Linked DNA regions of Rhinolophus ferrumequinum. The protein of the gene in region 2 interacts with the protein of the main gene of each other region in a pairwise test. Links are inferred from orthologs where the notes say so. Each region holds a gene or a part of one and is shown on either strand. Other genes may lie near its edges.

Region 1 (10,945 bases), on a different chromosome or scaffold from region 2:
AAAATTTCCAAGATTATAAACTGATACGTGTAGAAAAGAAAGCATTTCTTCCCTACACACCTTTCCCAATTTACACCTTTTTGACAACCTCGAAAGATCTTAACACAGGTGTTCTGAACATCAAAGAGAATTTACTTTTAAGTATACATCATATAAAAGCCCGATGTAGGAATGTATTAAAAGATGCCTGAGTTGACTTTATATAAATCACTTATATTACCACTAGGTAGTTGTAAAGCAAATACTTAAATTGAAAATGAGTATGTCTTTAATATTTAGTTTACCTCTTCCATCTCTCATTCTGTCATCAAAGCCATCATTTCCATAGCCATAATTATTATAGCCACCATAGTCATCAAAACCTCCATAACCTGCATAAGTTGAGAAATACACGAATACACTTTAAAGAGATACATTTTATAATCTAGTTTACAAAAGCATACTTTGTGATAAGCAGTCTGGTCAAATTATTAATTATCACAAGTTTACAACGCCCAACGTGAAAAAAAAGCAGTTAACACTTGGTGGAAATTAAAATCACAAAAAGATACACTTTGATATCAAAATTTTCACCTATGCCAAACAGAAAAATGTCAAAATTTTAATTCCTGTATACATTATCTAGGTGCTTATATGTGCATCAATCAAGTCCCACAGCTGGCCATGGGAATTTGTATTTTCATGAACAGGTTTTAAAACCTAGTAGGTACTGAAATTACTGCCATTTCTATATTTCTTGACAAAGTGTCAGGAATATTAAGAAAATGACAACAGAACCTTTGTTCATTAGATACACATACCACCATCATATCCATCACCTCCTCGTCGCATTCTGTCATACATACTTCCACGCCCAGCTCCATAATAACCCCCTCTTCCTCCTATTGGTCTATCATATGGTCCCGGTCGCTGGCCCAGCAATCTTCTTGGTGGATCATATAATCCTCTGATTTCACTCCTGTTACTTCTGAAGATCTCAATATACCTATTTAAAAATGGTTTAAGGTATAGGTTTCAGCTTAAATGTATTAGAGTAACTAAGATATCGGGCAAAATGCAGTAAGTTTTTCTATATCTAGATACATAAGCCAATTTAAATTGCCTAAATACACCATAAAGTTAACATTTTAACATCTACAAACTTAAATAATACTTAAGTTTACATAGACAAATTAGTCATTTGAAAACAATTTATAATATAAATATAATTTTAACTTGTTTCCTTTAGTACATGATAGGAGTTTAGAAAAAAGTTGATTATACAAAAACATTTATCAACATCCTACAGAAAATGGAAACAATCTAATTTTAATTTAAGCCAACTATTAGCATTAATTCCCCACCCAAATCTGTAGTTTCCAAGTTAAATTTAGATAATTATCAATTCTTTTAAACTACCCCAGAAAAATGTTACTGTTACCCCCCCATTTAAGCAATAGTGACCCACAACCCCCAAAAATAAAAATTTAACACCATCCCAAACTCTCCATCCCCACCTGTGCCCTATTCTTTCCTTGTGTTTCCCCAGAGCATTTTCTGCTATCTCCTTTGAAGCAAACTGCACGAAGGCCTCCCCTGTGCTTCTCCCCTGGTAGTCCATCGTCAATGTTATCCCATTTGGCACGATTTCCAACCCTTTAACCCAAGGACAAATAACCCCATCAAGGGGAACAGTGTTAAAGGCTGAAACATTCCCATCTGAATCAAATATTTAAAACAAGTCTAAACAAAACAAACAAAAAAAAGCTTAGTTCCCCATCACCCCATAATACAAATGGAAGATTTTTCAAATATTACTGGATTACATAAATTTTTTTGTGACCAGTGTCTTTTAAAATTATACACATACGCTAAAAGCCCACCTATATTAAAAGAAAAAAAAAGCTCGAATCAAATTTATGCTCCATATGCTAATTCATGGTTCATTTTATCACACATTACTCTCAAGTTTATTGCACATTAGTTTTTACATTTTCTACACATTCTGTATTGAATATTAACTGGAGCACATCCCACAACTTAATACATTAACCAATATATACCCAAATTAAAAAGTCCCCCAAATAAATGGGTTTTACAAATTAAAAACTGAGTAATATAATGTAAAATTAAAATACTACTAAACTTTGACTAATACTAGAGGTACCTTGAAAGAACTGAACTATTTCCTCTTTGCTGCAACCAAATGGCAGTCCACGAAGTCGTACTGTCCCATCACTAGCGTCATTTGGACCATTATGTTTCATAACCCAATCCATCTCAATACCGTTTGATTTAAATGCTATAAAAAATAAACAAGCACATAAAGCAGTCAATCAAAATATACTCTTGTCAGAGGTACTGAAGAAACACCTCTCAGTGATGCATAACAGGAAATACAACATACAACTCAGTGACACTCCGGCGACAATGCCACAATACAACAGTACAACAGCTTTCTGTTTTGGTGGGGTAAGCAAAAAGACTGGGGAAAGGCTGTGAAACCTAACCCTCCCACCAAAAAGTACTGAACTGAATTTCTAAGGGTCAAATATTATATGTTGCCTAATTTTAAGATAGCTTACATAATTTCACTATCAGTCTTCAAATGTTCCCTATTGCTTGACTGTCATTTAATGTCAACTTTGCCTCTTCCTCCTCTCTCAAAATTTTAATTTTCCAGGTTTTATTATTCACTTGAATAGTTCGTTCTGCAAATTCTTTAAAACTTCATTACTCAAAAGTTGCACATAGTACCACTATCCATTCACAGTAAGAGCCTAAGTTAAAAGTACGAGTATGCTATGATGTTGGAAAAATGGCATTACAAAAGCCTAAATTTATTAGATGCACTATAATTCTGAACATATCAAATTGTTTTTGAAGGGGGAAAAATTCGTATCTCTATTTTAATTAAATCTAGTTTAAACACTCCTCAAGAGCAAGTTTTAAAATGCCTGAATTAGGCTGGATTTGAAAACTGAGGTAACAATACCACTCAAAGATGAATGCCTTCCAACAGTATCAGTGTTTTTTTGAGGCCACCTGTTTTGGAAGTTATTGAAGATAGTGTATTAAATCCCAATTTACTCACTGCTTTACTTTTAAACACAAATTAAAAAAAAATACATTCACATTCAGAAAGTATCAAAAAGGGTACAGTAAGAAGCCCTTTCCTTTCAAAAAGAACCCATCCACCCAGTCTCCTTCCCAAGACAACCATCCTTTCTTTTCAACTTCCAGAACACTATAAAAGAGGCTAATGCAGAAGTCCTTCAGCTGCAGAAACTTACCAGACCTTACAAATTTCACTGTGCAGCTACAAGGAATCCTACTCACCTGAATATTTCAAACCTTTCCCTCACCACCACCTCCCCTGTAAACAAAACAATTTGTTCAACTTCATTCCTTTATTTATGCTCAAGGATTATATTTTGTGTCAACAGTATTCACTAATATTTAATTTCAGTTAAGTATGATCTAATTATCAGTGCAACTGTTAGGGGCAGCATCTGCAAAGAGTAAAATTTCTTTTTCCTAGAATCTACGCAGTTAAAATAAGCTAATGTAGACATTTTCAAATGTGGTTATTAATCAAACATCTCTGCATATAAATCACCACCCCTGGGACCTGTTGTTTTTTAAAGCCAGTATCCTAGGTGCCACTCTAGACACACCCAAAATGGGAAGAATAGAAATTTTTATCTGACATTACATCTAATTCTTATGCACACAAATAACTGGTATGAACTTTTTAAGATAAAAGAAACACTGGGTTTGAATCCCTAGTCTGTCACTCACTGGCTACTTAATTTTCAGCAAACTGCTTAACCCGTGTCTAACTGTAAAATAAAGCAGTGGTCTGAGACAGGACGACCATTCAATGGTGGCCAGTGTTACTGGATTTGAAGAGGCTTGGTGGAACGAATGAAATGTACCACAAACAAAATAACTGAACCTTAAAGGATAGAAATGTACCCAGTCTTCAAAGGAGTAAGAACTGTTTGTTACAAGTCTTTTCCAAAGTCAACAAAGGCTTTACATTTTCATGTTTCCTTAGAAATCATCTAAAGCAGAGAAAAAAAGCCAGGGTTTTGGGAAATGTTTACTACAACATGTTAGGCTAGATGATTTTAAAACACTGTTCTAATATAGCAGCCCTGAAAGAAGAGGGCCGCTAATCTGTTTAGGGAAAAAAGTTGAGACATTATGAAGACCTACCATTTTCTTTTAATAAACAAACAAACTTTTCAAAAAAATAGCACCGATTTAAATAACAGCCATTTCCTATAAAGGGTGATTTAAGAGAAGAGGGAGAGAGTATCCAACGTCACATGTTAATTTCTCATGAAAAATGTAAGAACTTTGCAAAGTCAATCTAAACTGTTGTGAAAAGATGTTAGTGTGTTGCTTTTTATCATTTAGCACTTTTTTTTTCAATGTAAAGCTACTGTTTTGGGGGAACACACACAAAAAATGGAAATCGACTTATCCATACTACAAATCTTAGCACTTTCCAACAAACACTAGCAAGAAAACTAGTTTTGATTTTTTTGATCAGCCCATACCAATGAGACCGATATAAAAACAAGTAAAGTACTATGTCTAAAAACAAAAACAGAGACATACACACTAAACTGTTTTAAATTAGGGAAAAGTTAAATTTTAAATTTGGGAAAAGTTAACCAGATTCGGAAGAAACTTTTATAGGGCAAGTCTCCTTCCTATGTGCATGTAGAGTACAAAATAAAAAAAGACATACTATTTTCTCTTCAAAATTCAATGTTAGAGTCTAAAATTTTACTTACAAAACAAAAACCATACAAAAAGACAATCTGCTTTAGTACCTTCATAAAGTTGTCTCAAAAACTACCTAAGTTTTTACTAATTTAGAGTCCATCTCAATTCTGCTTTTAAGAATGACAAGTGTTTAAAAATAAAAAAATCACAAAAAAAGCACCAATTAAAAACACCATCAGTGGAAATATTAGGATAACTGTAGTCAGTTTTGTAATTTTCTAAACATTATGCTGAGACACCAGCCACAAAAGAACACATAGGCCTACTGTATGGTTTTAAATGTATTAAGTTTGTTATGCAAATTTTATCTCAAAGCTGTTAAGAAAATGCACCTAACAAAGGCCAATGAAATACAAAATATCTTTACAAGAGATTATAGTGTCTTCCAAGGTATAATACTTAAAAGGGTTTGATGCATCCACAAGTAACTTTCTAAATGGTAGCCCACTGGTCCTAAAACATGAGCATGAACTTCAAATTTTGGCAGAAAAGTGGTGATGTTTAACTGAAATGGTTTTTCATCATTTCCCCCTTCCAATGTGCTTGCTCAATTTTGAATTAAAAAAGACTAATCACTTTTTTAATCGCTAATACTTAAAGGTGAGGTCACGAAAAATGAGTTTTTTTCTAGAAGAAAGTTACCATCTATTACAGTTCAGCAGCTTGTTCATCAAAATGAGGATACCAAAAAAGAGCATGGTTATTAAAAATACAAAGGCAATTAGATGGATTTCCAGATTCTGATGCAGATGAGGGCAGAAAATTTCTAGGACAATCCAATTAGGAAAGCTGTTATATCATATACTACTTTATAGGATAACTCTGGGCTGTCTTTTCAAAGTCCACTAAAATCATAAAACATCTTCAATAAGAATGTTTTTGTTTTTAAAGCTGGAAAAGTAGAAAATAGACTTCTTGTAAAGACCCATATGCATTATGGGAAACTCTTCTCATGTCTTGCCAGTCCTTTTTGTACCGTGAAAATCACCTAGCCAGTTCTCCTGTGTTATAAGGACCAAAAATCATGGCAACCACATGACTTGGATTTGTTTTTCTATTGAGTAGGTGTATTTTCTTGGTCAAAATATTACTATAGTCCTATACTAATGCCAACAGTCTTCGCACAAAATACAACTCTTGCAGATTTAAGTCAGTAACTCAGCGCGCACACACACACACCCTTTGCCATTACTGGTTGTGTTTTAACCGTTTCTCAAATGTAAAAACTGCTTAAGTTCTAACCCAGTACGTGCCAAAACTACACAAAAATCATTGCTAAACCATTCCACCCCCGCCCAAAAGTTCAGTAAGCCGTATCATAGTCACAGTTCACTGGGCCCAGACGACCTATTTGAAACATGCCCATTTCACATTCCTATTTTATAAGTCACCCACTTTTCTGCTTACAAAACAATTACCCACAAAGTCTTTACGTTTAAGATAAGCATGAAAAAAAACCCTTCGGAAAATGAGTACGTACTCTTTTCGAAGTTCCGAATCTGGAATATAAGGGCCAGATAAGCGTCCTTTATTCCTCCCCGGAGACTTTTCGTTTATCTAGCTGCCCTAGAGACCAGAAAGCTAGGGAGAGTACTCCCCTTTCCCCCCCCGCCCCCCGTCCGGCAGCCAAGCCTGGCTTAAAATCCTTCGCCACCGGGCGGCGGAATTACAAAGGAGACCGTCTGCCTCCTTTGTCCTGGATTTGGGAGTTGAGCGCCTTCGTCGCCATTGGCTTTCCTCCCCCAGCTCCAGCCTCTCTCATCTTGAGAATCTGCGTCAGAAGTCACTCGCAGTCCCGCCAGCCCAGGTAGCCCATCCGAGACTGCGGAGGAAGGGAGGCCGCGGTGGGAGGCCAGGCCCATCCCGCGCCATTTCCAACGGGAACGCGCCCGCCTGCCCAGGTCCTCCCCCCACCCAACTGCCCGGCCTTTCCCTGCTTGTTTCGTCCCCCACCTTCACCCCTCCAGGGCGCTGTGACCACCCTTTGGCCTTCTAAATCAGTTTTCGGAAGCTGAGGGGCAGAAAGTAGAGAGAGAGAGGAAGGGCGGGAAGCCGAGGTGGCCGCGCCACCGTACCCAAAATGGCGGAGGCCAAACCAGCAGGGAGAGGGGAAATGCTGGATGACCCCCACTTCAGGCCTCGGCTTCGTCCACTGAAGTCCACCTGAGCAAGTCCTCCCACCCCCCGGCATGCCGCCCTCCTTGAAGTGGGAGATCGCCTGGGAGGCGCAGCCTGGCCTCTTCCGAGCGGCGACCTCCACACTTCACCCCCACAGCACCCCCTCCCCGTCTCTTTCGTCCTCCCGACTCCGCTCTCGAAACCACCAGCCCAACCTACCCCCTTTTACTTCAGATACCCTGTCGAACGACAACAGCGCCGATTCCGGGACTCGCGATGTCCGATCGTGAGGAAGAAGTCGCTTGCCTACTGGAGCGCTCCCCACAACGGTTCTTCCAACCGTCTCCGGCGGAGGCAACCGCTATGGGAGCTGCGCAGCAGAGCGACTGGCTTGGGGGGATGGGAAAGCGCGAACGAGGAGGGGGTGGGCGGAGCGAGAGCAACGAAGATGGTCCGGCCCCGTGCTCGCGAGATCAGAGAGTTGGTCCCGCTTTGGCGCGGGCAGCAAGTAGTACGCTTGCGCACTGGTAGGCTGGACCACTGTTGGAGGGGAGGTGTCGAGGGCTGCCCAGTTAGAGAAAGGGGCGGAGACTTCGCCCTTCCTGCTTACCGTACAACCAGCAAGTTCTCAGAGTCCACCTTTCTGCCCTCTCCCGGACGATAAGTGGCGGTCGTAGTCTTGCCAACGTGTGTTGAAGGAACCGTGGTGTCGCAGTTTGAAAAAGTTCTCTGGTACTCTGCCCCACCAAGAACAAATTCCATAAAGGCCCCGCCCGTATCCTAGCGTCGTCTGCGTGGAAAAGGCGCCACGTGGTTCGGCTGCCAAATGCAGGGAGGGTTTTTCTCGTCCACCATGTTTGCATTATGCAGTGAAAATAGGATTATTTCTCCGCTGCGGAGATTCAGAAGTGCTCCCCAGACCCCAATTTCGACTCGAGCTAGGGCTCCAACTTCGTCGGGCCCTGGCGCTTCCGCATCGGGCCCCCCCAGCGGGTTTAGTCTGGGGGGCTTCTTGATTGATTTCCTCCCTGCCACGTTCTTCTACAAATCGCTCCTCGCTTTCTCCTCGCCTTTGCGCTCTCTGTTGCCTTTCATCTTTTCCACTGTGTAACGTCAGTGACCGACCAGTCGTTCACGGCCGACTTCGGGTTTTCGAAATAGAGCTTTGCATCCTTGAAAATTGCGTGTACAAGTGACATCTAATACTTTTTGATTGTGCTGTCACCAAGGTTCCTAGTGACACTTTATAGCCTTTTTTTAATTAAAAAAGAATGCAAGCCCAATTTCTGGGAAGAGAGGAGGGCAGTACTGGTAAAGAGATCAATGTAAATTAATATCCAACGTGGGAAGGGAGATACATGAAGTGAGAGGGAGGAAAAGAAATGAGTTTGAACACACTTGTTCCTGTAGGTTGGAAAGGTGGACACAACTAGGTTGTAGACCCTCAATACCCAGCCAAAGACTGGACTTTGTACTACAGCTATTGGGAAGCCCGTTGAGGATGGCGTAGGGGGCGCAGGGTGTGTTAGTGGAGAAGCTTGAACAATTTTTTCCTCCTTAAGATCTGCAATGTGTAAAGACAGGAGGCCGGTTACGTTCAGATAATGGAAACTTCAATTTCATGGCTTTCATTCATTCTCAAATGTGCTTAAGACAAGTGTGGGACAGTGAGAATTGGTTAGGTCATAGTGCTGTACTGCCTTTCTTGAGCCTATTCCTTCAAAATACCCCTCAGAAAAGGGGGAAGGGATGGTGTGGTCATCATTGAAAGAGAGAAAAAAACAGAATAATGTAATAATAGCTGACGTGAATTGACAGCATGCTTGAGCTAAACGCTGTGCTCAATTCGCTGACTCTGTACAACCCTGAAAGATTATTATTATCCCCAATTTACAGATGAGGTACCTGAGTTCTAGATAAGTGAGAAAGTTGCCCAAGGTCACACACCTAGTGGCAGAAGCTAGGATTTGAACCCAAATGAATGGTTTTACTCCAGGGACCAGGGACTTAAAAGAACTAACCTTCCTGGGGTTGCAAATAACTTAACCATGCTAAGGAAACAAACATCATTTTAGGCAAATTGAAGTTACTTCTCCTAATAAACACTAGAGTTGTGATCTCAGGAGACCTTGCTGTTAACAATTTATTGTCTGGAGACATTTGAACAGGCCTGAAACTTGATGTCCTGGTGTCATTGACACTGTGAACAATCCCCCCCCCCCCCCTTTTAAAATAATTTCTGTGTTAGTAAGTCTCCAACCTCCCACACTTCGGATGGAGTTCTTTTCCTCCGTTCAGGTTACATCCCTACGTCATCCTTTCAATCTTTCAACCTGATTTGGTGGATGGAATTCTGTAATGCCTTTCACCCTTTTCCTGAATTCAAACAATCTATTTACTGCCTTGTTGAGGTTTGGCACTGCACATACTTACTTAGTGTGGTATGGACCACAATCCTAAAATCATTCTAATGACTTTTTGCCACCACACCGTGATGTTTTGTTTGTTTTTTTTCTGTGTTATTTTTTGGGGGGGTGGGTATCACAATTTCTTTGTATTGGGCACTCCACTGTTTGCCAGTGTGAATGCTTACAAAGAACTTGAAATTAGTACATATGTTCCTTTTGCTTTTTTATTATTATAGCAAGTAGGAAGCTTTGAGTTTTAAAAAAAGTACACTATATAGGGGTAAACTTAATTTTTATTTGGCTTCCTATTTTACTACTTTTCTCAACAACAACAACAAAAAGTCTATCAACTATTCCTATTTGCAAGTTGAATCCTATCCTGTAAGTAAGCCTTGGTGAACTGGTTTACCACTGCTCCAGTGATCCCTACAGAATTGTTTCCAGATGGATCTCTGTGGAATTGTTTCCATAGAGATGGTTAGAACTAAGGGCTCCCAGCTGCTTTTGGGATTTTTTTTTTTCTCTTTGTCTTTCTTTCAGTCATTTCAGTGCTTTCCTATTGACATAGAGATCAGAGGGACCCTGGAGAGGATCTTGTTAGAGGCCATAATGAGAGAAAAGATGAAAAAGGAGAAAGAAATAGAAGTACCCACATCACCCAGGGGACAACAAGACAAGGAACAGGTGATCGTGTATTACACCATCAACATGAAGAGGAGAGGAAAATTCCATGCAGAGCCTGAAAGTAAAAGAAAGATGTAGAAACTGAAAGAGATTGCGCTTCTGGGAGAGGAAGACACATTAACTAAAAATTGGTTAAGATAGTTGTTCACATACCCTCAATGACATTTGAAAATAACATAAAAAGTGGGTTATCATAATCTTTTTGCCTATATGAAAAGCAAATAAGTTAAACATAACAAAACTTATGCATAAGTTTCTACGAGCATGTCTAATTGGGGTATAGTTAATGCCTTCTGAACACTAAATCTGTCTTACTAACGTTTTGTGAAATGCTTGTTCTTGGATTTATAGCATATATATCTACTGTCTTTAGAAATCAGTGATCTTCCTTGTCATGATTATTTGTCAAAATTAGTTCTCCAAACAAGGCTTAATGAATTACAGTTAACATTCTTAATACTTTGTGTCACATCAGTATTCATTCTGGGACTAGGGTAAACCAAAAGTCTCATCCAATTTTAATAATTATACACTAAATAAGCAAATGGAAACTTAAAAAGAAGGAAGCACTTATCACGCACTCTAATTTTTGAAAATATTAGAAGTATTGAACATTCAAAAAAATGTAAAAGTATTGAACATTCTCTCTGTTCTAGTAGATTGATGAGAGGAACAGAGAAAACAGCTACAAAAGAAAGCTACTTAAGGCATTGAAATCAATTATACTGCTTTTAATGTGTCATAAGCACATTAATAACTTAAAGAACATGGCACAGATAGTAGAGTAACAGACCATTCCCCCCACCCCCACACATGATTTTAAGCTTCTGAGTGGTAGATACAAATATAGGTTTCATTATATATGTGCCTATGCCTCTCAGTGCACAAACAATGATGGTCATGTTGGGGATGGAGGCACTTTAAGTAACTAATTTTCACCACAGTCTAGGAAAGTT
Region 2 (10,650 bases):
CTCTTTGAAGTGCAGTAACACTTCTATTTATATTGTCTCTTCTTCGTTAGCTAACAATCTTATAAACAGTAGTAGCAGGGTACATTTTTTGAGCTTGTCTCTAGTAGAATAAGAGTATAAGTCAGGAGTTCTCCTTGACATACAGGATGGGAATACAGACTTAGCAGCATCCTATTCTCAAACAATATTGAGGGGAGGGGAGCGCATGCAGTCCCCTGACCTTGACTTCTGACTAAAACTTGGCCCCAGTATCTTTGAGACTGATGGGAATAGTGGTAGAATATGCTGCTGGGGGACCGAGTGGGTAGGTAGATGATAACTCTCATTTCAAAGCTGCAAGCACTTTTCTATTTTGCAAGAGATGGAGACTTTCATGTGTCTTATAGTATTTCTTTGTTCAAAAAAAGCCACTGAAAGGGCCATGAAATTGTGTGAACATAAACCGTAAATCATCAAAGTAGATGGTCAAAATTAAAGAAGCTGAACTGCTCTCTAAGGTAAGACAGAGATGGAGGTCTGCAGACTACATGTCCTTAAGGAAGATGTTTCTTTGTCCAGGTGTGGATTCAGGCTTCATTCATTCCTTGAGTCAACAAATATTTATTGAGTCATTGCGCCAGGTGCTATCCTAGGTGCTGGAGATGGCAGTGAACAAAACCAACCCCCCGTCATAACAGATCTTATACCCCAGTTGGAAGTGAAAGACAATAAACAAACAAAGAGTAAAAATACTGTATAACAGATGTTGATAACTGCTGGGGAGAAGAATAAAGAAAAGTAAAGGGACTTTCCTTTTGCCTTACAACAAACAAAAAACAAAGCAGGTACTGTGCCTATAACCTGTGAATACATGGTTGACCACAGAAGATGGAGGAGCTGTTTTCATGCAAGACTTGTTAAAACACGGGCTTTATGGTCTGGGTGAAAAAGTTGGAGGGAAGGGCCCTTCTCCTCAGTACGCTGCAGTATTTGGAAGATCTGGATTACTGTTGGGGGCCCTGTCCATGATACACCATGAATACCAGGGTAGTTCCCATTTGTGCGTGTGGAATAGAACCACAGCGCACCGTCACAGTGGCTGCGAAACTGCAACTAACAATGCCTTGCTGGCCTTAGGATAGCACCTCACAGCAAAGGGGAAGTGATAGAAACCATTTTGGATGGTATTTTTAGGGCCTCTAGGAGGTATGGAGAGAGCATAACTAGCTGTATTAGTAAGAGTGAGACCAAGAAAATTTTGTATGAATTTCTACGCTAGAATACCACAGACTTCCTCAAGATATGACAGGTGAGAAGGGTCTGGAAGCTTACGTAGTCAGAACTGAGGGACACTACATTTCTAAAAATTCTTTTAAATGGAAGAGAAGTGTGTGGCAGGCATACCACAGTCCATATCCCGCCCAGATACTTCCTCTAAATTGAACTGATACTTGGGAAGAGGCAATTTGTCAAGCAAAATTGTCCCATAACAACAGAAATTGTGAGTGTCCTCAGGGGGTACAGCACTATCACAGCCTGATGAGGAGTCTGACTTGGAGCCAAACCAGGCCCTGAGCTGTTGGCAACTTTCTGGGGGCAGAAAATATATGGAGAGGATGGAGGGTGCATGAGGCCCTGCACCAGGGCTCTGAATGCCTGTGTGAGCGTGGCCAACTACCCAGCACAACCTAGACTGGGACTAGTCATGTCAGAGTGGAACAGGATAAAGGACTGAATGTGCACTAAAAGTGGGAAAAAGCCCCCGCAAGTGTTGACACAAGAAGCTGTTGCAGTGGGCAATGCAGAAAGGGAAGACAGGGTGAACACCAGAAAAACAGGTCTAATTGGAACGACAGGTTATTTGGAATGACAGGTGGAAATTCAGACTACAGGAGAGGTTAGAAGGTCTCCTGGAATTCTTGCTGAGTAGTTAATATGGAAGAGAAAGGAATGGGGGTGACATGGGGGTCTGTCCTTTAGGACTCCTAAAAGTAGTTTGAGGGCACACAGCAAGCAACTAGAAGTCTAGTAACTCAGGCCTTAAGTAAGGGGTGTGTGTGTGTGTGACCTCGTGGCCATGTCTATGACACTAGAGTCTCTTGAGAGAGTAGGCAGTTGGAACCCCTCTCCAGTCAAAGGCTCAAAAGATTTGAGGGTTCTTGTAAACTACCATGCCAATTTCTCTGTATAAGCATGGAGATGAGCAAAGAAGGGTGGCAAACCCCCATGAGAGGCAAACCTCCCTCCCAGGCTGATAAAATTTAGTCTAATATGTGACAGACAAAACCTGCAACAATACCAGTATTCTTAGCCTCTCAATATTTCTTACCCTCTAGGAAGGGACCCCTGTCATTGACAGCTGGGGCTCCTGACATCTGTGCAGATGAGGGGAAGGGGGGACAGAATCAAAGGAGCTGAAACAAGGAGTTTCTTCTTGTAGAAGAGAAAAAGGATCCATCCAAGAAGTGAAGGGGGGCAGGCAGTGAAAAAGCAAGGGCCATGCTTGAGAGAAAGTTTGGGGATGTTTGGGGAGAAAGGAGAGAGAATGGCAGACAGCTATGCCATAAAGAGAATGATGAGGGAAGAGAAGTTTAAGATGTCTTCCTCTATGCTAAACCCCTTTAGAGTTTTCCCAGAGATTATAATAAAAAATATAAATTGCTTTTTAATTCTATTTGGCTATTAGATATGTTTCTTTTGAATGTGATATCATGCCGAGATGGGCCACAAGGCAACTCAGCTTCATAAAAGTTGAATTTGGGGAGACATATCGGTGATTGTGGACTTAAGGATGAAACAGTTATTCTAGATCTAGAGGAACAGAGCAAGCGTCTTCACCATGACTGTTAGATTTATAATGCCAAAAGTATACCAGCTATATAGAGACTGGAGATAAACTACACAACAGCTAGAGAAAACTGGCAGAACTACTGAGAATCACAATTTTAGAGAGAATGTGACGTTTGGGACTAAGTGTACCTATGTGGAGACTTCTGTGTATGCAGCATGGACTCTATTCCCCTCCTTAGCCTATGAGACTGGAATGAAGGAACAGAACAGCTAGGTGATTCCCAGAAGACAGAGAAAGGCGGGAAGCAGAAGAAGAGTGTGCAGGGTTTCTTTTTTTCTTGCTATGTGGCATACTTTTTATATGTGAATACTCTAGTGACATGGCCAGAGTACCCATTCAGCCTCTTTTTCCTTGGGAATGGACCCACTCAACAAACGCCAGGGAATTGGAGTCCAGAGGGCTCAGCCCTGTATCCCAGCAAGATAACTGAGGCTCTACTTCACTCTCTGCATCTGTCCCCCTTACTTTCTGAGACTAAACCCTTCTCCTATTTTCCCTGTCTCATGTTCACATGGAATTCCTAAAATTATCTGGTTCTGAATCTGAGGCACCAATTGTTTCCTCCTTATGTTTTCAAGTTCTGCTACTTGTCCACTCCCCCACTTCCCACCACCCCTGGCTCTCAAATGTCTGACCTGGAGCTTGACTGGATCAGCCCCACCCCTTGATCTCTGCACTTGTTTCCCAGGGTCTTTCATGCTTCTCCAATAATTTCCCCTCCCTCTAGGCTCAGACCCCTGGCACTCTCAGTGGACTTCTGCCAGCACCTCTGGGAGCATGATGTAATCTTATGCTGAAAACCTTGACATACATGGTATCCCCAACAATAGTGGCAAAGGGCCTTGTATGATGGTATAATCCAGCTCCTACAATATGGGGGCTACATTTAATGTAAGGTGAAGGCTAAGAGGGAGGCCCTATACTGGGGACAGGGTCAGTCCTTGTAGATGGAAGCAAGAACTCACCTGAAGGGTGAAGGAGCCGACAAGTCCATGCCAAGTGTTGGTCAAGAAATGTGAAGCAACAGACCCAAGCAAAAAGACCTGCAAGTCACGACTGTCTTTTCTAGTTAGAGCAGAGTATAGATTTTTTTGGTAAAGTCAGCTGTGCTTAGGGAAGCCAAGGAAACGCATTTTTGTCTTCTCCTGAGCTTTCTGAATAACCTGTAGGGCACATGACAAAGGTGGGAGAGATAACCAAGGTGAGAGCGCCACAAGTTTGTGGAATGAGTAAGGAAGGAATGAGCAAGCAAACAGGATTAGATCATTTGTTTTAGAAAATACAATACCGTAGGGGTTTTAATTTGTTCATATATTTGTTTAGAAAATCAAATTTCTAATGGGTGCACAATACTTTATTATATCAGCAATGCCTTAAACACTCTGCTGTTTAGGGTATTTTCCCAATTATTTCTATTTTAATAGCAGTAAAACAGGCATAAGCCAAACAGTTCTTTAGTGCCCATAAGAGTTCCTCTGGGCCAGTCCTACTTTTCCTTACCAGAGTACACAACCAGGGAAACCTTGAACCACCAGGATACAAAACACTCCCTCATACCTAGCTCTTCCCCCATCCTGGAGTGATACAGTTCTTTTCTCCTCCCCAGATTTATTTCTTCTCGTGAACTTCATTTTTGGTTTCTGATCATTTGGCCTCTCCAATTGACTAAGGTTATATTAGTATGCTGCTACCCAGGTGCTGTTTACTTCTGAGTCTGAAGTCATCTGTAAATATGTGAAATCCCATTTTTCTTCCTCCTGCTCCCCTCCCACTTGGCCCCTTAAGTAGGGAAAGGAATTGTCACGAAGGTTGAGACACTCAGTGTAGGTCTGTACCTGGGCACCAGGCCTGAGGAGGGGCAGCTATCCTTACACACACTGTCACCCTTTCCACCTGTGAGCTGATGCACAGGGTTACTCAGAAATAACATTATAAATTATCCAGTCCAATCCTCTAACAGATCAGGAAAACGACTTATTTAAGGTCTCTGAGTTAATAAGTGGCAGATACAAAACTGAGTTCAGGTCTCCTAAAATCCACTATGTGTGGGCTGGAGGGTTACCGATGGGGGAACAAGACATAGGGTTCTTGTTCTTCATTCAACAAATGTATTGAGCACTTACTACGTGCCAGGCACTATTTTAGGTACTGGGGATTCCCTGATGGTGATGGAAGGCACGGAGGAGACAAAAATCTCTTCTCTTATGGAGCTGTCTTTTTCAAAACTTAAGTACTTTGCCTCATCATCCTGGAAAAATTCCCAGTGCCCTGGGTAGGAGTGGGTGGGTCTCATACGGGAGGGGGAATCTCATTCTTTCTCGGTTCCTGTGCTATATCTACACGCAGAGGGCTGATTTACTGCAGAAGCCGAATAGAGATGCGGAAACCTCCAGAGTGTCCTCCCCCCTACACCTCCAAGGCCGGCCGGGCCGGCTCCAGGGCGCCGCCGCGTCCCAGCTCGTCTAGGATGCTGTATCCTCTCTGCTTTCCTGCGGACCGCTGGAGGACAGAGAAGCAGAACTCGGCTCTAGCGCAATCCTCTGAAGAAGGACTGCGGGCAGATGAATATCCTTCCAAGGTAGTAGGCTCAGTGTGTAGCACCCAGACTAGGAGAGGGGATGACCTCTCCCGGACCTGGGGGTTTATGCAGCAAACTGCTCTCATGCTTCCCTAAGAAATATTGCAACCACACGCTCTTTCCAGCCTCAGCTGAGGCCACTGCAGCGTACCCTCCCCTCCCGCCCCACCCGCTCGCTCACACACCAGAGCCCCACTGCAGCTTCCCAGCCATCCTCCCTTTTCTTCTCCACTTCCTGGTTGCCATGGAGACACGTCATTTACGTACCGTGCGTCGCCTTGGAAACGGGAGCATCCGCGGCGCTGCTGGGAAGCCCGCCCCTGCCGCTCCTGTCACACTTGCAGGCGCTGCCAGTTAATGGCCGGGGGGGAGTCCCGAGCTGGACCTGCTGCTGGCCTTGGCCTCGACCCGGGTCCCTTCGCAAACGCTTCTGTGATCCAGGGAATCGGCGGGCACTTGCTGCTCGTGGCTCCGGGAGGGCGGCGCTGACACGAGCGCAATCCAGAAGGCGAGGCAGCAGGAGAGGGCACTTTCGCCCCGGGGCAAGCGGCAGAGACACCGGCCCTGGGACTCTCGTCGGGTCTTAGTCCCGCAGGCTCTTCCGGGCCTCCCCGGATCCTGCCGCACCCTCTGCCCGGGACTCGTCTCCTCACGTCGGCTCCCCGCCCCTCTCAGGAGCATCCCCTTCCCTCGGCTCCTCCCAGTCCCTCCCGGGACCTCGCCTCCTCCCCGCCCCTCCCCCACTCTGGAGGCCGGGCTGGACCGGACCCAGAGCGGCCACCGCCCGCTTCTGCCATTCAATGGAGGACGGTCTGCTGGAGATCATGACCAAGGACGGCGGCGAAATGCCGGCACCTCTGGAGGTGTCCACCGTGCCGGCGGTGGGGGACGTGATCTCCGGCGAGTACAACGGCGGCATGAAGGAACTCATGGAGCACCTGAAGGCCCAGCTGCAGGCCCTGTTTGAGGACGTGAGGGCGATGCGGGGGGCCCTGGACGAGCAGGCTTCGCACATCCAGGTGCTCTCGGACGACGTGTGCGCCAATCAGCGGGCCATCGTCTCCATGTGCCAGATTATGACCACGGCGCCCCGCCAGGGTGGCCTGGGCGTGGTCGGCAGCAAGGGGAGCTTTCCGGCAGCCCCGCAAGAACCAGAGACCCCTTCTCCTGGAATCGAGGACAGCGGTTTGCTGGGTCGAGATCCTGAGGACGAGGAAGACGACGATGAAGAGGACGAAAAGAAGATGCCCCGCTCCGCCACACCCACTAGTCACTGTGAGCGCCTTGAGAGCCCCCGTGCTGGTCTCCTTGGTGGGGCCGGGCCACTTGTGGAGCCCCTCGATCTGCCCGACATTACCCTGCTGCAGCTGGAGGGCGAGGCCTCCCTGTGAGGGGACTCCGAGGGGCACTACTTTCCCGGGCTGGCTTTGGGTTTCCGAGTGCATGACGCCAGCGGACTCAACAGCGCGGTGCAGCACGCTTCACTCCGATCGCTGCTCTTGTGGGTCAGGCAGAGAGAGACTCCCTGGAGGAAAGATCGATAGGGTGAAGGACTTTTTGGGAGCATCAAGAATTCTTTCTGCCTAACCATGCGAGACGTAGCAAACTGCGGAAAGGTGAGGTTCCCGGAGAGGAAGCGCCCATCTCTGGACTCTCCCATCCATCCTCTACCCTTCCTTTCCCCCTGCCCAGCCAACAGGAGAACCCCTGAATTGTGTAAATAAAATTCTGCTTTTTCTATTATGAAAAAGGACTTTTCTAGGACTATGGCAAATAGTCTCTAACGATTTACCTAGAAATTAAGGAATTGGGGTATTCTGTTCTGGCAACAGAAAATTTACCCTTCTGCTGAAATCCAAGATATTCAGCGCTCTACAGAAGCCTCTCCCCCTCACAGATCTCTGCGGCTGCTGATTGGTAAAGAAAGCTTGAGGAGGGAACTGCAGCCCTAGGAATCTGAGAGAATGGGGTTCCCAGGGCCCCCGGGCTGGGAGGAGCTGGCTGTGAATGTGCATGAAGACATAATAGGTCGACCTCTAGGATTTTGCATGCAGAACGGATCCTGCCTTGCCACTGACTTCATCTGGAATTGCTTTATCCACTCACTGGGGCTTAGAGAACAAAGAGCCCAGTTCACAGGCAGAGACTTGGGGTGCTCAGCAACAGCCCAGATTTAGGGGACATTTGAGGGACTCTTGGGAGCTGCAGCCAAAAACTGTCTCTCTCCTGGCTACACCCGCTTAACTTCAGTTCCTTTCCTGTCAATATGTCCCCTGCCTGCTGCCTCTCGGTGTTGCCTCCATGTCTTGTGTGTGTTACGTGTGTTGACTTGTGTAGTAGTGTGTGAGCCCTTAGGGGCAGGGCTTGTGGCTCTGGTGTTAGGTTCAGGGGGCTTCAGACCCTTCTGTGAGCCCCTGGCTATCATGGCGCTTTCCCCTCTCCTTTCCTCTTTTCCCCCACAACCAGGGCATGGAGCATGTGGCTGTCCTGAGGTTCTTAACTGATGTGCCTCCCTCCCATCTCCTCAATTGGTGACTTTGTGTGCCCTTCCTCCTCCTCTGTGTATTCCTTCTGAATGCTTTCCTTGGTATTAATCTTAATAAAGAGGTGTCATCTCCCCTCCTTGCTGACTGGTCCTAGGGCGATGTCAGTGTCGGGCTTCTGGGCCCGTTGCATGGACCAGGACTTAGAGGGAACCACAGGGACCATGCCTTCCCTCCTCTCTCCTTGCCTCCAGTTCCAAGGAGTTGACCATCCCTGCCCTGGTTTGGACAGTCCTTGCCAACTCTATCTGCTTTCCCTTCCATCCTGGACCTTGACTTCCAGCTGGACTGGGAAAAGAAAGGGTACGTGTTGAGACTCCCAAATTAACAAGGGTTTTTAGTAGCCAGAACTCCAGATGTACAAGAGACTTCTTTTCAAGTGAAGCACCTGGCCCCTGATACATGATTTCCAAATCTGAGTCCTGGAATGGCAGGCATGACACCTGTTTCCTGGGAGGTTTCCGGAGAGGGTATTGTTCGGGAGGTTTTGCCGGGGATCTCTGGGCAGAGTGACACATCATAAAGGAAACCGCAATAACTGCCTCAGGCCTCTAGTGGAGAATGCCGGTAAGGTGTTCCCCAGGGAGCTTAGACTGACATCAGCTGTAGTCAGCTCCCTTGGGCGTTGGAGATTTCCCAAGGCTATCCCAAACAAAATTTGGGAGAAGAATGAAATAGGATGCTGTGTGTGTGTGTGTGTGTGCGCGTGTGTGTGTTTGCTGCTGGTTGCTGCAGAGAAGTGAAAAGAGCATTGGAGTCAAAGAATCTCAGTTCCAACACTGACTGACTTCTTGAGACTTAGTTTCTGTATGTGTAAAATGGGGACAAAAAGTTGTAGGGGAGAAAATTATCTAAGGCCCCTGGGAAGTCTTGTGCAAATGTTAGTTTTCTCATATGTAGTTTTCTTGGTGGGGGTCGGGAGGTGTGATGGTGATGACTGCTCTTCTGGGAAAACAAAACTACCTAGGGAAGGTTCTAGAAACTCTCTTGTTATATAATCCTTCCCTATCTAAAGAACTTTTATCCTTCAGAATAATCAAGTAAAGGGGGATGATGAGATTCCCAAGCTGAAATGAGTCTTTTCATCATAAATGTCATGCAGTTATGGGCCAAAAAGGTCTTGGGGGCCAGCCCTGTACAGGTAGTATGACCAGAGGAAGCTTTGAGTTGTAGAGCGGTTGGGGAATGTGGGCTGGGGCCCTAGAGAGGGCAACTAAAGCATATTAGTGGGGATGTGTCCCTGGAAGTGGCTAGGAGATAGGTTCCTATTATGGTTCCAGTATTCAGCACCAATATCAACAATAGTAGCTATCATTTATTGAGCACTTACTATGTGCCAGACACCGTGCCCAATATTGTCTCCCAACAACCATACAAAGTAGGTACTATTATTTTCACTTAACAGTTCCAGAAACAGATTCCAAGACTTGCTCAAGGTCACACAGCTAGTAGTTGGCAGAACTTAAACCCAGGTCTTCTGACTTAAAGAACCCTTGATGGGAGCCATTCTACTAATTGCTCTTTTATTTGGATCTTCAGAGAAGAAAGTCCCTTATTCCCCAATCAAGAGTCTAAGAGTCCTGAAAAGGAAATAACATTACTTTCAGTCACTTTTTTATCTTCTCAATTGGAACAAGAAATTGCAATTCAGGTTTTGGTGACCCTTCTCAGATACCAGTGGATGGCAATACAAGAATGGCACCAAGAAGATGGTCTTCTGGACCTGCTCCTTGCGAGGAAGAAGCCGATGTTCCCAGATACTCCCTGACACAGCTCCATTCTTGTTCTTTCCCGTTCCCTATAGCTCACATTCTGCAGAGGCTGATGTGAATCCCAAAGCAGTGTAGCCCTTTTAGCCTCTGTAGAAAGGTCTGGTTGAACCCTTGAAGCCTTGACTCTATTTTGGTTCCCCTTCCTATGCCAACTGTCCTAAATGTGTCATCAGTCCCTTAGCCCTGCCTCCTAGAAGTCTTCCACCTATTCCTTCTAAGTCCAGATAGATAAAAAATATCTCCCCAATAAAAGCAATTCTTCACCTTCCTTCAGTGACCTGCACCAGCATCTCACAGGGATGCAACACAGATTAGTCTCCCACCTCCTCCTTCCTCCCTATTCCCCACTCTCCTCTTGCATTTCTCCTTTGGAATGCTCCTGATGAGTGAGTTTCAGATGAGATTCCTAACCTGGGACATGATGGGAGTTCAGGGGCCATAGCCCCTTGAAATTGAATGCAAAAATCATGTAAGTATGTACATTGTCTAGAGAAAAGGTCTGTTATTTCAACTTAATTCTTAAAGGTAAGAATTAAGTCAAAAAGAATCACTGAGCCAAAGAGTAATGAGACTTTTTAACTTGAAAAACACCAAAGAAGAAAAGATCCTGCCTGAACTGGTACTATATTGAACTGGCAATACACCCTTGCTTCCTGGGACCTCCAGGGTACTTCCTACACTGAATGGAGCTCTTCACATGCGTCTGATTACTCCCCACCTACTCAACAAATCCAAATTATACTGGTATCCATTAGAATGTGCTAAGAATATAATAATACTTAGAATCTGCAAGGGCACGACTGCTACACAGAGCTGAGGAAATGGTCCCCTCCGTAGCTTTGTGCTGCGCTTCACATCTGGGCCCCACACAACATTGCATGTAATTCATCGCAGCTCTTTCAGTTCCTAGCACTCCTACCTCTTACG

Evidence for each region.
Region 1: the proteins of CCDC184 (region 2) and PBLD interact in binary tests that used the Homo sapiens proteins (3 or more experiments, as listed by UniProt). The two-hybrid records come from large-scale screens. The link is inferred for Rhinolophus ferrumequinum from reciprocal best matches to the Homo sapiens genes CCDC184 and PBLD.

What each region holds. Positions count from the first base shown.
Region 1 is NC_046299.1:46,945,403-46,956,347, reverse strand, and holds the start of PBLD (phenazine biosynthesis-like domain-containing protein), read left to right. Parts: upstream 1-6,447; 5' UTR 6,448-6,586; intron 6,587-7,116; exon of another isoform or gene 7,117-7,318; intron 7,319-10,945. Other genes in the region: HNRNPH3 (heterogeneous nuclear ribonucleoprotein H3), read right to left, coding at 285-371, 801-985, 1,497-1,635, 2,147-2,258.
Region 2 is NC_046293.1:49,613,084-49,623,733, forward strand, and holds CCDC184 (coiled-coil domain-containing protein 184), read left to right. Parts: upstream 1-5,678; 5' UTR 5,679-6,208; coding exon 6,209-6,799; 3' UTR 6,800-8,030; downstream 8,031-10,650.